3 linked regions of the Callithrix jacchus genome follow. The protein of the gene in region 3 interacts with the protein of the main gene of each other region in a pairwise test. Links are inferred from orthologs where the notes say so. Each region holds a gene or a part of one and is shown on either strand. Other genes may lie near its edges.

Region 1 (4,316 bases), on a different chromosome or scaffold from region 3:
TCACTTCTCTCCCTGCTCTGCATCCTGGATGCCCTGCACCCCTCTTCAGTGGGCTGTATCAGGCCCCCGTTGTCTTCATCTGGGGCGTGAGCCCTGTGCGGCAGCACCAGGCTGGCTGGGTTGTGTAAGGAATGCTGGGGTGTAGAAACCCTTTCTCCACAAAGTCTAACTTGAGACCTTCTCTCCTGGAATCAACATTCCCCTAATCAGGCCGAGGGCTGAATGAAGACTGTTTTCCTGGGGCGTCTGCACCTGAGTGCCCTTGAACATCACATAGGACGAAATCCAGGTGACCTTGGATTTGGCAATGACTCTTTAGATATGACACCAAAGGCATGATCCATGCAGGAAAACGCTGATTAAAATAATAAAATTCTTCATTAAAATAATAAATTTCTAGGTCATGCCTATAATCCCAGCACTTTGGGGGCCCCAGGTGGGAGGCTCTCCGTCACAGGGCCGGAGGTCACAGGGCGCCTGTCACAGGGCTGGAGTGTGGTTGGCCCACTGGTTTGTGTTTTACGTCCCTTCCCACAAGGACAAGATGACCCGTCTGTTGTGTTCTGGCTGCTGATAAAACAAGACCCTCAGAGCCAAGAAACAACACTGAGGTGATTGATTTTCCCAAGTAATTGGAGACGGGGGGAGTCAGGGTGGGTTTCAAGATGATCACACGGACCGAGGACAGATGCCTGCCCTAGTAGGACCCCATGAGCCACAGCCCTGTGTGACAGCCTGAGGGGCCACGCCTTGGTCAGGGGTGTCTGCAGTGAGGTGCAGGCAGGAGCAGTGCAGTTGGGAACAACTGGTGTCTTAGACACGGGTGCTCGTGGTCCGAGGGGTGGACACACATTGCTGAACCCTTCTCATGGGGGAGTGACGTCAGGTGGTCTCCGGCCCAGCCTTCAGGGCCTCCCAGTGCTCCTCAGGGTGTGGGGACCATCGTGGGGCTGCCCCAGGCTGGTGTCCTCCCCCTACACTCACCAGCCCCTCCATCCTCAAGTGTGGGTCCCAAGGTCAGGCCCTGATGAACACCCGCACACCACATGCTACCCTGAGTGCCAGGGCCTACGGAAAGCTACACTGGGTCCCTGTGTCGTGGGCAGGGCCTGTGGGAAGGGCAGCCCCACGTGCCACTCAAGGAAAGGCAGTGTCCCCACCTGGCCTGAGGACTCCACATGGGGTGAATGCCTGACCCGGGCTGGGCCTCCCTTTGCGGAGTGGCTCAGATCCCCCTGGAGTGTGGTCCCCACATCCCATACCTGCCTAAGGTCCTTGGCATTCTCGGGCTCTGTCGTGGTGCAGGAGTGGCTGCCTGTGCACCCCACGGGCCTCCAGCTTCACTGCCTCAACATGGCCACGAGCTGTCGCCAGGGCGGGCAGGGGTGCCTGGCACCTGGTCGCTAGGGCAGCGACATCACAAGGTTCGGAAGGTGGCAGCGACCACGGAACTCTGTGGCCTTGGGCTGTTTCTGTGGTGCCTGTGGGCTCTGGGCTTCCACCTCTGTGGGGCTGCAGGAGCTGTGAGGGACGACGAGGGACGTGCGCCGGCCATGGCTGAGGGCGGTGAGCTGATGAGCCAGCTCCTGAGTGAGAACGCAGACCTGAAGAAGCAGGTGCGCCTCCTGAAGGAGAACCAGATGCTGCGGCGGCTGCTTAGCCAGAGCTGCCAGGACGGTGGTGGCCGAGACCTGCTCCCCCAGAGGGCGCCCGCCTACCCCGAAGCCAGCTCCCCTGGGAGCGGAGGTGAGGCGCCACCCGGCTCAGTTGGCCCAAGGGTCTGGCCTGGTGGATGGCGGGTCAGGGGACGCCTGCTCCTCAGGTGCCCCTGGTACAGGAGGTCACGGGTACCTTCCACACCCTCGGATCTGAGTAAGCAGCACCAGGTGGTTCATTCCGCTGTTGTCCTCGGGCGAGGCCCCTCCCCTACAGGCCCGCTGCGGTGAAGTAGGGGTGGTCAGCCACTTGCAGGTGGACTGGTCAGCTGCAGTCACGGAAGTGCCGCCGTAGGGGCAGAGCGGGAGGCGTGCAGCCTCGTGGGCCTCCAGAGACCCAGGCAGCTCTTCCAGGCTGGGCCCGGCTGGCACTTCGCTCGGCTGTGTGTGTCTCTTCTCCTGGGGCGGAGGGGGCTGTCAGACGCACCAGCCACACGAGTCCCATCCACTCACGTCCTCAGCCAGAGTCAGGGCAGCCCCAGGGTGGGAAGGGCCTACCTCGGGGAGGTCAGGGGAGTGGGTGGGGATGATGGGCACCTGTCGTCCCTGGGGCGGTGGGAGTGTCGGGTCACGATCCACCCACCACATAGTATTGACTCCAACCTTCTGTGGCTTTTCACTGAAAAAAAAAAAAAAAGGGGGGGTTTGATCACTTTCTGCAAAGTAGTAGGTTTTATTCTAAAAATTTTGGGAAAAACATTCCCTGTTTCTGCATGTGACTTGGGGTATGGCTGACAGGTGTGCCCTTGACTTTGTTAGGATGGTGGGCAGTGGACAGAGTCCCTGACCCAGCACTGCCTGGGACTTCCACGGCCAACCTCAGCTTCCCACCAGGCCGGGTGGGGACAGGATGTGGTCAGCCTGCCTGGTCCTGGACGATGGAGCAGGCAGCCTCACCAGTGCCTGTGAACGCTGCTGTCGGGAAGCACGAGCCATGCCTGGGAGGCTGGTTCTGCCACCCACCGAGGGGACACTCTGGGACCTGCGCAGGGGTGGTCACTTCCTGAGTCCTCAGACGCCAGCCACCACCCTCATCTGTGCGCCTCTGAGCGGGCACAGCCTGCAGGAGGCACTCTCCGCTGCTTGGAGCTACTGTGTACAAAGCCTGAGAGCGAGCACGTCGGGAAGTAAAGAGGGGAATCCTTGGCAGCATCTCCATAGCTTCGGTGCCTGCAGGGGCTCCTCACGGGGAGCTGGAAGGAGAGCACCTCGCCAGGAGGTATGGGGACAGTGTGGCCAGAGGATCCAGCGCCGGGGGTCCCTGCTGTGGGAGGCCCCAGGTCCTGCATCCCCGTTGGTGGCCACTGAGCTCCCCCACACTCACCACAGGCCATTTGCTGGGTGGACCTGTGCTTACGGCGGCACTGCAAATGGTCCCGTTCACAGCACTTGTTAGCCCCGGGCACTGTGGCTGCAAAAGAGCCCCTAGTCTGCTTGGTGCCTGAGGAACTGCCACAGGCTGCATGCCCGGCCTTGTTGCCATCGTCCTCCTCAAGAAGGAATTGCACTGGGCTGGACACAGTGCTGGGGCCTCCCTTGGCGGGAGAGCGGCAGACCCTCCACCCTTGCTCAGGCTGTGCAGTCCCTGGAGGGACCTTTGTCAGGGGCTGAGTCAGGTGGGGTCTCCATGGCCACGGTGAGTGCACCTGCCCTTGGGTCACCTTGGCAAGCCCAGGTCTGGCTGGACACAGGTCTTGGGAGGATCCCCAGCCCGAGGCCATCAGGCCTTCCACAGAGGGCCTTGGAGCCCCCATGCAGGGTGTGGGGCAGGCTCAGTGTGGCCCGGGCTGCCAGTGGGGAGGGGCCTGGACAAGGCCGCCTTCTAAACTGTGCCACCTCAGTGGCAGCGCGTGGTGCACCCTTGATGCTCTGGGCCTCAGCATGTGCTTGGGAATGTGCCTGGGTCTGCGGGGCGCTGCATTCAGCCCCAGCCCTCAGCAGGACGGGGGTTTGGAAAACCACCACTGAGCTCCTGCCAAAAAGGGGTTTAACACCGCGGAGGACATGTTTCCGGCTCAGGCCACGCCTCTGGACCCACTCCCTAAAGGCAGGCACAATCAACGTTTTCTTGGGTTTTCTCTGGAAGTTTGATGGAGGTCCGTGTGTCTCTCTCTCTCTTTTTGGTCCACCCAAACAGGACTGCGCTGTTCCCCAGCCTGACTTTCGCCCTGAAACTGTCCATTTCTCTATCATTCCCCGTCAGTCCTCAGCTGCAGACATCCCGGCACACAGAGAAGCTGGTTCCTTCTCTGGGGCCCCTGGCAGGCAGCACCATTCCCGGTCTGTGACCGCGGATGCTGTGGCCGGGAGCAGCCTGCACAGGCACCCTGTCGCCTTGGGTAGGGGATCCCACACGTGGGTCCTCGGGTCAAAGGCTGTGTGCATTTGAGATGTCGGAAGAGACACTCAAACACTCTCCTGAAAGGCCCCTACACCCCACTAATGGAGGAGGCGGGCGCCATGCTGGCATTGTTCCAGCACACACACACCCCCCCCCGCCTGGTGCTCTCCACACCCCCCCCACCTGGTGCTCTCCACACCCCTCCCCGCCTGGTGCTCTCCACCCGCCCCCCGCCTGGTGCTCTCCACATCCCACCCCCG
Region 2 (4,243 bases), on a different chromosome or scaffold from region 3:
TACAACTTGTCCTTAAGAACTGATTTCTTAAGCAACTCATGAAGAAAAGCAAAGTTGAGAGTGCTGCACGTACAACTCCAGAAAAAAACGGTAAGAGAAATCACTAACACTGTGTATTTCCATCAGCCTATGGAGATGATCTGGAAGGCTTCCTTTCAACTCCTCTCAGTTTGTCAAAGAGCAAGTGGAGCTGACTTGGGAGAAGGAACACATCAATGGTCCAAGTGCATCCCTAGGAAGAGGGTTCTTAAGCTGACGTGGTCCCAAAAGCTTTGTCTCTACCCAAAAAAAAAAAGGTCAGCCTGGCATTTTGTTTCTTGTTTGGGAGGCTTGGAATATCGTAAACAATTTTAAAAGGAGTTGCACCCAGTAACTCTGTGACACACAGTAGAGCAGAGGTAGCCACAACAACTGCCCCAAGAAGCTTGGGATGTAAAATCATAAATGTCTACATACTATATTTGCAACTGCTAGCCTTAACAGGAACACAAATCCACCGCGCTAATGATGGGACATTATTTTTCTAAAGATTAATTCACACCATGTGTTATTAATCAGCAGGGTAACTGAAAGCTCAAGCAAAAAAAAAATGCTGTCCTAGTCAAGCAGAACTTAATTGCATTATTGTTATTATTATGGCTGCTGCGCTGGTTTCCCTGTGTCCCCGGCTCCTCCACCACAAGTATTCAGACACACACACACACACACACACAGCACCATAGCATGGATGGAAAAACAAAAAAGCCAGAGCCAGGAGGTAAGAACCACATGTATAGTAGGAAGAGGGTTTTGAAGAAAAACGTTTGTCTCTGGAAAAACAGGTCAAGTATGCACGCAGGCTGCCTTGAGAATTATGCCTAGGCCGTTTCATCTGAGTGTCCCATCTTGCACAACGGTGGGAGCAGCTGCGGGAGATCACAGGAAATGCAAAGCAACACAAGCAACCTCATCTATCTCCCCGACGCCCACACCAGAGTTTCCAGGTGGTGGGAGAGAGTGTTCAGGTCTCCGGAAGAGCACACAGCTCACCTGCCATCCAGAACATCATTTCCCATACCAAACCATCCATTTTCAAGGCCTGAAGGCAGGCAATTTAAACTCCTGTCGGTGATCAAACCTCAGAAAACCGATTTTTGATCTAGAACTCGAGTCCTTTGCCAAAGTTGTAGTTTTCATGCCAAAAACAAAAAAACCCGCAGGCAGGCACAATCGTTGGCTGCGTGAATCTCGAGTTTCCCTTGCTGCCTAGTCTTGTGGAGTTTAGAGGCAACCAACTAGGAAAAGAGAAGTGTCCAAGTGTAAGGAGCAGGAATGCGTCCAATCTCGCCCGTGTCCCTCCCAACATCCCTTAGAAGAGGCTGGGACACTAAAACTGGAAGTCTGGGGACCAACTGCAGTCCAGATCCCGGCCGGGGCAAGCCGCCACACCCTCTGCAGCTCAGCATAAGCCCCGGCTGGGAGGGGCCCAGACAGTCCCAGCAGGAAAAGGAGAAAGGGGAGTTTTCAGAGTTCTGGATTAGAGGAGGTGGAAGGCTGGGAGAAGCGGAATGCAGGAGGGAGCGGGGGACCTGGCTGAGTGTGCAAGGGGAGGGGAAGGGTCGCCCGTGCAGTCAGGACAGCTCGCAACACGTTCCCGCAAAACTGCACATTTTTGTGGTTTAAGATTTAAGTCTAGAGGGAACACGCTGAGGTTCTCCCCGGGCTGGGTTTCAGACGCCCCTCCTCCTCGCCGAGGGCCGGGGCGCCGCACAGCTGCGGAGCTCCCCTTTCCCTTTCGGGGAAGCTCCCCTCTGCCAAGCCGCGACGTCCGCCCTCCAAGTTCGCCTCCGCTCACTACCCGGCACGGCGCCCGCGGCCGGCCACACGCGCCCCATCTGCCGAGAACCTAGCAAGTCCCCGGCTGGCCGCTCAAGGGATGGTCCGCAGGGGCTCGGGGTTTTTTGTTTTTTAAAAACACAAAAAGCCTAAGCGACTCGCCGCCCCCTCCTCCCCAGCCCTCGCCACCTTCCCTTCACGCCTACGCCGCACCTCCCGGGCACACGCGCCGAGAAGTGCCTCTCCAGCCAGACAATGGGTTCGGGGCTGGCGGGGCAGCCCGCCAGCCCTCATTCCCATCCCATCCCAGGACCCGGAGAGGCAGAGCGCGCGGAGCTGGAGAGAAGTGCCGGGGGCGTGGGGGCGCCACAGTGGGGAAGGTGCGAGCCTCCCCCTCGGGAAAGGAGGCTCGCTCCCCGCGAGGGACGAAGGGGAGGGGCGGGGGTCAGCTGCGCCGCCCGGCCGGGGGCCCGACCGCCGCGGCGCACTCACCAGCACGATGGCAAATCGTTCCTCCAGTTCACCTGGCTCAGGCATCGGCAGCTTCAAAGGCACGTTGTGCGCCCTGAAATCGGTCTGCTGCGAATCCATGCTCCCGGCGTTACCCATGTCGGCGGCGCGCCGGGGCCGGGGGCTGCTCCGGGCCCCTTGCGTGCGCGTAGGAAATCAGAACAGCTCCCGGCGATCGCCTCCCGTCCGCAGGCGCGACCTGCCCAGCTCCCGCCCTCCGCCGCGCTCCGGCGGGTGTGCGGTGCGCACCGCTCCCTAGCAGCGCTCCAAGCCGAGCCGTCCCCCGGCCACCCTCATGCTCCCCGCCGCCCCAGCTCGGCCCCGGCCTCTTTTGCTCCGGAGAGGTAGTCGGGGCGCTGGGCGCCTATGTGCATGGTGCTCCGCTGGTACACCGCCCCCTGCCAGAGATCGCGGCCCCCGGCGCGTGGTCCCTCCTACTCGGCCTTCAGCCGGGCCCCCGGGCGCCGCTGACACTTCCAGCCCTGGCCGGCAAAGGCTGCGACTGCTAGGCTAGCACCTCGAACAGACAAATGCAGCTCCGCGCTCCCCTACACAATGCCCCCTCTCGCCTGGCCCCCGCCCCCAGCCCGGCTCCGCCCACTCGCCCCGCGGACTGCCGGGACGCGTAGTTTCTACCCAAAGTGTCCGCGCGCAGAAACCACGCCCGCTCTGGAGCGCCAGGCCAGATTGGGACCATTTGCAGCAAGGGGATCCGTATGTTTCTGGAGATGGCTTATGTCACTTTTGACCTCCCCTCACCCCAACAGCAGAATACCTACATCGTATATGCCATGTTGACACTTGGAATCCAATCAATGAATGAATGGATGCATGCCTTCTGATTAAAATCCAGAAAATCATTGCTGTTTTTAAAAGATCTAGTTCAATAAGGAACTTCGAAAGCATTGGCAAAGTGGTTTCATACACGGGGGAGGGCGGGTGGGTCCATGGGTGCTTGCTTATCGTTCTTTCTTCCATATATATGTTATTTGGTGTGACTGAAATATTTTATAAACAAATGTATAATTTATGGATATATACAGCCAGACCCTAGGAGCTGGATAAGGATTCAATTCAATTTACAAAAAAAAAAAACCAAAAAACTGTCAAACACCTTATTATGTATGGGTTATTGTGTTCCTTGGTGGGAGAAAAAAAGAGACTTGCCCCTGTGCTAGAATACATGCCAATCTAGTGAAGGAGAAAATTTACACACCCATATTTCATGTGAGATGGATTTAATGATGGAGTGTTTTGGGAGACTTTGGGATGATTTTTTGACTGCAGCGCTCTTATTTCTTCACAGCAATCTTGAGCAAGGTGTCTTACAGAAAAGATTGGACCTGACTCTGTCCTCTGGGGTGTGTTTCAGACTATAACTACTCATTTCTGAAACCTCAGAAATAGAAATAGCCTTATAAGAGACTTTAGCCAACTGCTTATGTGAATATTAAGGGTATACATCCATATGACTTGTGGCTGAACTTCTGCTGTTAGTACTTTCTTAGTTTAAAGCAGTGTTTCTTAATCCTAGAGGTGTATCAGATTCACTTGGGAAACTTTTTGCTAAAACTACACACACCTTGGGTTCTGTCTATTATCGGAATCTCCCTAAGCTGAGAGCCAGAGCCTAGGCAGGTGTAGTTTTAACAAGCTCCCAGCTGATTTTGATATGCAGGTAAGGTTGTTATCATCCTTTTAGTAAATAGCAAGTGCTTCTGGACAAGGTAGTAAACCAAGATTCAATCATCAAGAACATTTCATTCATCTTTATAAACTCCAAGATACTTTTTTTTTTTTTAAAGATGAGGTTTCAGCATGATGGCCAGGCTTGTCTTGAACTCCTGACCTCAGGAGATCCACCCACCTCGGCCTCCCAAAGTGCTAGGATTACAGGCGTGAGCCACCGTGCCCGGCC
Region 3 (4,091 bases):
GTGGGAGTACTGAGTGGGAGATGGCAGTGAATGTGTAGAGCGTAGGAGGTGGGTGAGTGTGCACCTGATGCTGGTGGGAATGGAGGGGAAAGCTCTGTGAATGATGGGTAGTGGGTGAAGACATGCTGAGTGTCTGTGGTAAGTAAAACATATGGTTTGAGTTAATGACAGTCTTCATAAGAAAAATGGACAGAGTTTACTTAGGCTAAAGATGTTTGTACATGCCAGCAAAAGGAGAAGACAACAGAAATCGAAAAACATTTTTATTTCTGTATGTAACTTCAAATTTAGAACACTCAGAATTAGTATGAACAAGAACTATTTTCTGACAAAGATTTGAAATTGGGGAAGTGAATTACTCTAACAGGTGCACATCAACCTCTCCATGCAATTTACATCTGTATCTTATGCAGTGAAAAATGGGTTACACAGCTCCGTAACTGCAGTTTTTAACATCCCATTTTGCAGTATCAGAATACTTTTCAATTAAACTGATCCACATGTTTAAAGATGAGAAATAGTACGTTTACATTGTAAGGTTGAGTCATAATAAATGCACATTCCCTTCCATTAATAAAATCTGGAACAAGTTATGGTAGACAGAAAACTATCCACAATATCAGTAATCTAACAGTTCACACTTTTACTGAACACTTCCTGTGAGCCAGGCCCCGCAGTAAACATCTGAACATGCAATTTCACATTCAACGTGGAATAGAAGTGTCACAGGTTCACACGTTTTTCACAACTGATTATGATGGCCATGATGACCGCGTGCACTAAGCTCTGTGTCCAACCAGGTAAACGGCATTGTAGCCAGCAAGATCCGCTAGCAGCTCACAGTGCTTGCGTGCACAATTTTAGAATGTTACATGAATACTCAGGCCTGACAAATCCTGCCCTCCAAAAACAAATGTAACAGGACTAAGCCTTTACTACTCAGACACATCTGTAAGACCCCACAGGGACAAGGACAGTAGCTGTGATCTGGGTCTGCACTAAAGCTGCCTTTCCTGGGACTCAGAAGTGCCCTTCCAGGCCTAACTGCAGAAGGGTGGCCTCAGCCTCCTCCTCCTCTTCCTTGGCTTCCTCCTCACGGATCTGCACCAGCAACTCAAAGAGGTTTGGGGCCGGCCCTTCCCCAGCCCCGTTAAGCCACAGCTGCCTTCGGATGGCCCCGCTTTGGTTGGCCCCGGCAATGACCTGCTCTAGACGAGCCTGGTTCACATTATCTTTATCAATGGCCCCCTTCTCCACCACCTTCTGTAGCAGAGGCTCCAAACGAATGACATAAGCAGACAACTTTTCTCCCGGGTTCTGGTAAGTGTTCAGAAATTTGACCTGGGCATCCCTAGAGCTCTCAACGCTCCCAAACACCTGCTCAAGCGCCTGCAGGCATTCGGCAGTAGTTATCGCGGGGTTGTTGGTCTTGAGGATGCGAATGACATCAGCGGCGGGGCCTCTAAGACTCTCCATCAACCGCCGCCTCTTTTCTGCATCTGGCACCTGCCACTCCTCTAGGACCTCATTAGTGTGCTCCAGCCAAGGATCAAAGGTTTCCTCTCCAGGCCCTGGGATGTCCCTCCCCGAGAAAAGTGTCAGCTTCTTGTACCATATGGACTCAACAAGAGGTTGAATAACATTATCCAAAATATAGTTTAGCATCTCTGCTGGCATCTCTGGGACCGGGGTCGGAGTAGGGTTCTGAAACCCAAGGACACGGGCAACATCCTGCACGGTCCAGCCCTCTCTAGCTAGGAAGAGGTGCAATCTTTCTAAAAATTCAGCATCGGAAGTCGGGGGCTTAAAGAACACTTTCCAGACTCCTCCTTTGCCCGGCAACTCCCTGGGGATCGTGGCGTAATCGACAGCGCCAGTGAGCTCTAATAAGGCTGCTTTCGCATTTTCTTCCCTCCAGAACATTCTCCCAAGCACTCGGTAGGGCACCTGGGGCATCGCAGCCTGGAGGGTCTCTTCGATTTCAGCCTCATCACAGTTCACTGGGATGCCCCAGACCAACAGAGCTCTCTGGGAGTTCACATCCATTCCCCTGCACCAGTCTTCCAACAGTATCATCGCCATTTTGTCAACTATCAAGACGCTAATTCTACCAACAGACAGTGGCTCACCTTGCTCCTGGCCTTAGAACAACGCCAGACACTCCCCCCAAGTAGGCCCAAGGGAGGCGAGTTTCACGCAGTCACGATTAACAAAGACACAGAGTCCTGACCTCGCCCTTCCCTGCCCCCACAGTCAGTCAGTGGACGCACTTGGAGACGAGCTCGGAAACGCTGAGGCAGTCACGCAGCCGTCGCCATCTTGCGTCTGGGTCCGGGTCCGGGTCCGGGTCCGCTGCCAGCAGCCGAGGCGTCGCGTCGTCGTGGAGCGGGCAAGGAGCGAAGGCGGGCGGCGAAGGCAGGCGCGATGGGCCGAGAACCGCCGAGGTGTGGTCGTCGGGCGCTCGCGGCGGCTCCCAGAGAGGATCTGGCGTTCGCGGTCGCAGCCCGGTCTTCCGAGGGCGAGGAGAGGTCGTTTGGGAGACCCGGCACAGGCAGACTGTGCCGAAGTCGCGGCGGCTGCGGGCCAGCTGAGAGCGGCTTCTTGGCAGGAGCAGGGACTCTTCCGGGAGGGTGGCGAGGACCGCCGAGGACCAGAAACGAAGGCAACAGAGGAGCAGGAGAGCTGGCGAAGCTGGGCTGGAGACAGCAGAAGAGAGGATGAGCAGCGGCGGCCGCAACGATCTGCACTGCGCTGCTACCCAGACGTAGTGTCCTACCCGCAACCTGCGGCGATGTTACTGCAGCAGTGAAGGGTGGGGCCAGCCCGTGAGCGGCGTCTGCCCCACTCCGTCACGCCCCCGCGGCGGAGCCGCTCGGGTGTCGCCATGGCAACGGCTTCTCAGCCTGCACGAGACTCGTCTGCTCTGGCGGCCCACCGCGGGCGGGGGAGTGGGGGTGGGGCGGAGTCCAGCGGTTACCATGGTGCCCCGGGCACCTGTTTCTCTGATGGCGTAATTTTCTTCTTCTTTTTTTTTTTTTAAACAGAGAACAAAGACTGCTAAGCACCGTATTTTAAAAATAACCCAATCCTGGAGTGGACTTAAGATGATATTGTTGGAAATGCATCCCTCATGGTGGACTCATCTCAGATTGCTCAGCCAGTCCACCCTGCACGTGAGAATATCCTCAGAACCGTAGCTTCCCTGTTCCCCCAACCACACTCTGCACCCTGCATATTTCATCCCAACGCAGCCAAAATGTCGGCGTGTGCCATTTACGTATATTTTTGTAAGATACGGAGTTGCCTTTTTCTTGTCTAAAATTTTGTAAAAAAGATGTTTGTCTATGTCTACTCAGTCATCTTTTAGCCAGGTAAACATTAATATGTTATTTCCCTTTTCCTGGCTGGCATCATTGACAATAGGCTGCTAAAAGAGAATCCGTATGGTTCGAAAATGTTGAGTAATCTTTGTGCAAGCAAGACAAGACCCACTTACATCAATCCCAGATGGTGAAAATCCCAGAGAACACAGCATGCAACTCTGAATTTTTAAAACCTTATTTAATAAAAGGTTTAAAGATACAGAAGAACATTCAAAAGTAAATAAGTTACATAGGTACATTACAATCACATCAGCAAGATTCTTTAGTGTATTAATTTTTTTCTTATAAAAAGCACACAAAAAATAAAATCTTCAGTCTCTATCACAACTGTACAGCAAAAGAGGTAATATTTATATATATATGTACACTATTTTAATATGTAACAGTCTTTTTAAAAAAGGGTGCCACAGGCAGCAAACACAAAAAAGGCAGTGTCTGATCATTTGTTTCAAAATAAAAGGAATATACTTATTTATATGCTATTAAAATATTTGTACAATAATTACAGACTGTCAAGGCTGTTCCTGTGCTGTCCCTTCCAACAAGGCCTTCAACTTAGAGACAAATGAGGAAAAAGTGAAACAGCTGCAAATTGTTAGAGGCAAATATTAACATAGCAAAATGTGGGGAGGACACAATTGTTTTATAAAAATATGCCTACTTCCTGTAAACCTATGGAGTTAGGCTTGCCAGTCTGATAATATATAC

The links.
Region 1: the proteins of PNMA1 (region 3) and SPATC1L interact in binary tests that used the Homo sapiens proteins (3 or more experiments, as listed by UniProt). The two-hybrid records come from large-scale screens. The link is inferred for Callithrix jacchus from reciprocal best matches to the Homo sapiens genes PNMA1 and SPATC1L.
Region 2: the proteins of PNMA1 (region 3) and FMNL2 interact in a two-hybrid assay, tested with the Homo sapiens proteins (2 studies listed by BioGRID). The two-hybrid records come from large-scale screens. The link is inferred for Callithrix jacchus from reciprocal best matches to the Homo sapiens genes PNMA1 and FMNL2.

Annotation. Positions count from the first base shown.
Region 1 is NC_133522.1:51,766,208-51,770,523, reverse strand, and holds the start of SPATC1L (speriolin-like protein), read left to right. Parts: upstream 1-1,463; 5' UTR 1,464-1,553; coding exon 1,554-1,746; intron 1,747-4,316.
Region 2 is NC_133507.1:77,748,964-77,753,206, forward strand, and holds the start of FMNL2 (formin-like protein 2), read right to left. Parts: upstream 2,854-4,243; 5' UTR 2,425-2,853; coding exon 2,308-2,424; intron 1-2,307. UniProt on the Homo sapiens protein: Plays a role in the regulation of cell morphology and cytoskeletal organization. Required in the cortical actin filament dynamics.
Region 3 is NC_133509.1:108,629,447-108,633,537, forward strand, and holds PNMA1 (paraneoplastic antigen Ma1), read right to left. Parts: upstream 2,802-4,091; 5' UTR 2,083-2,801; coding exon 1,021-2,082; 3' UTR 251-1,020; downstream 1-250.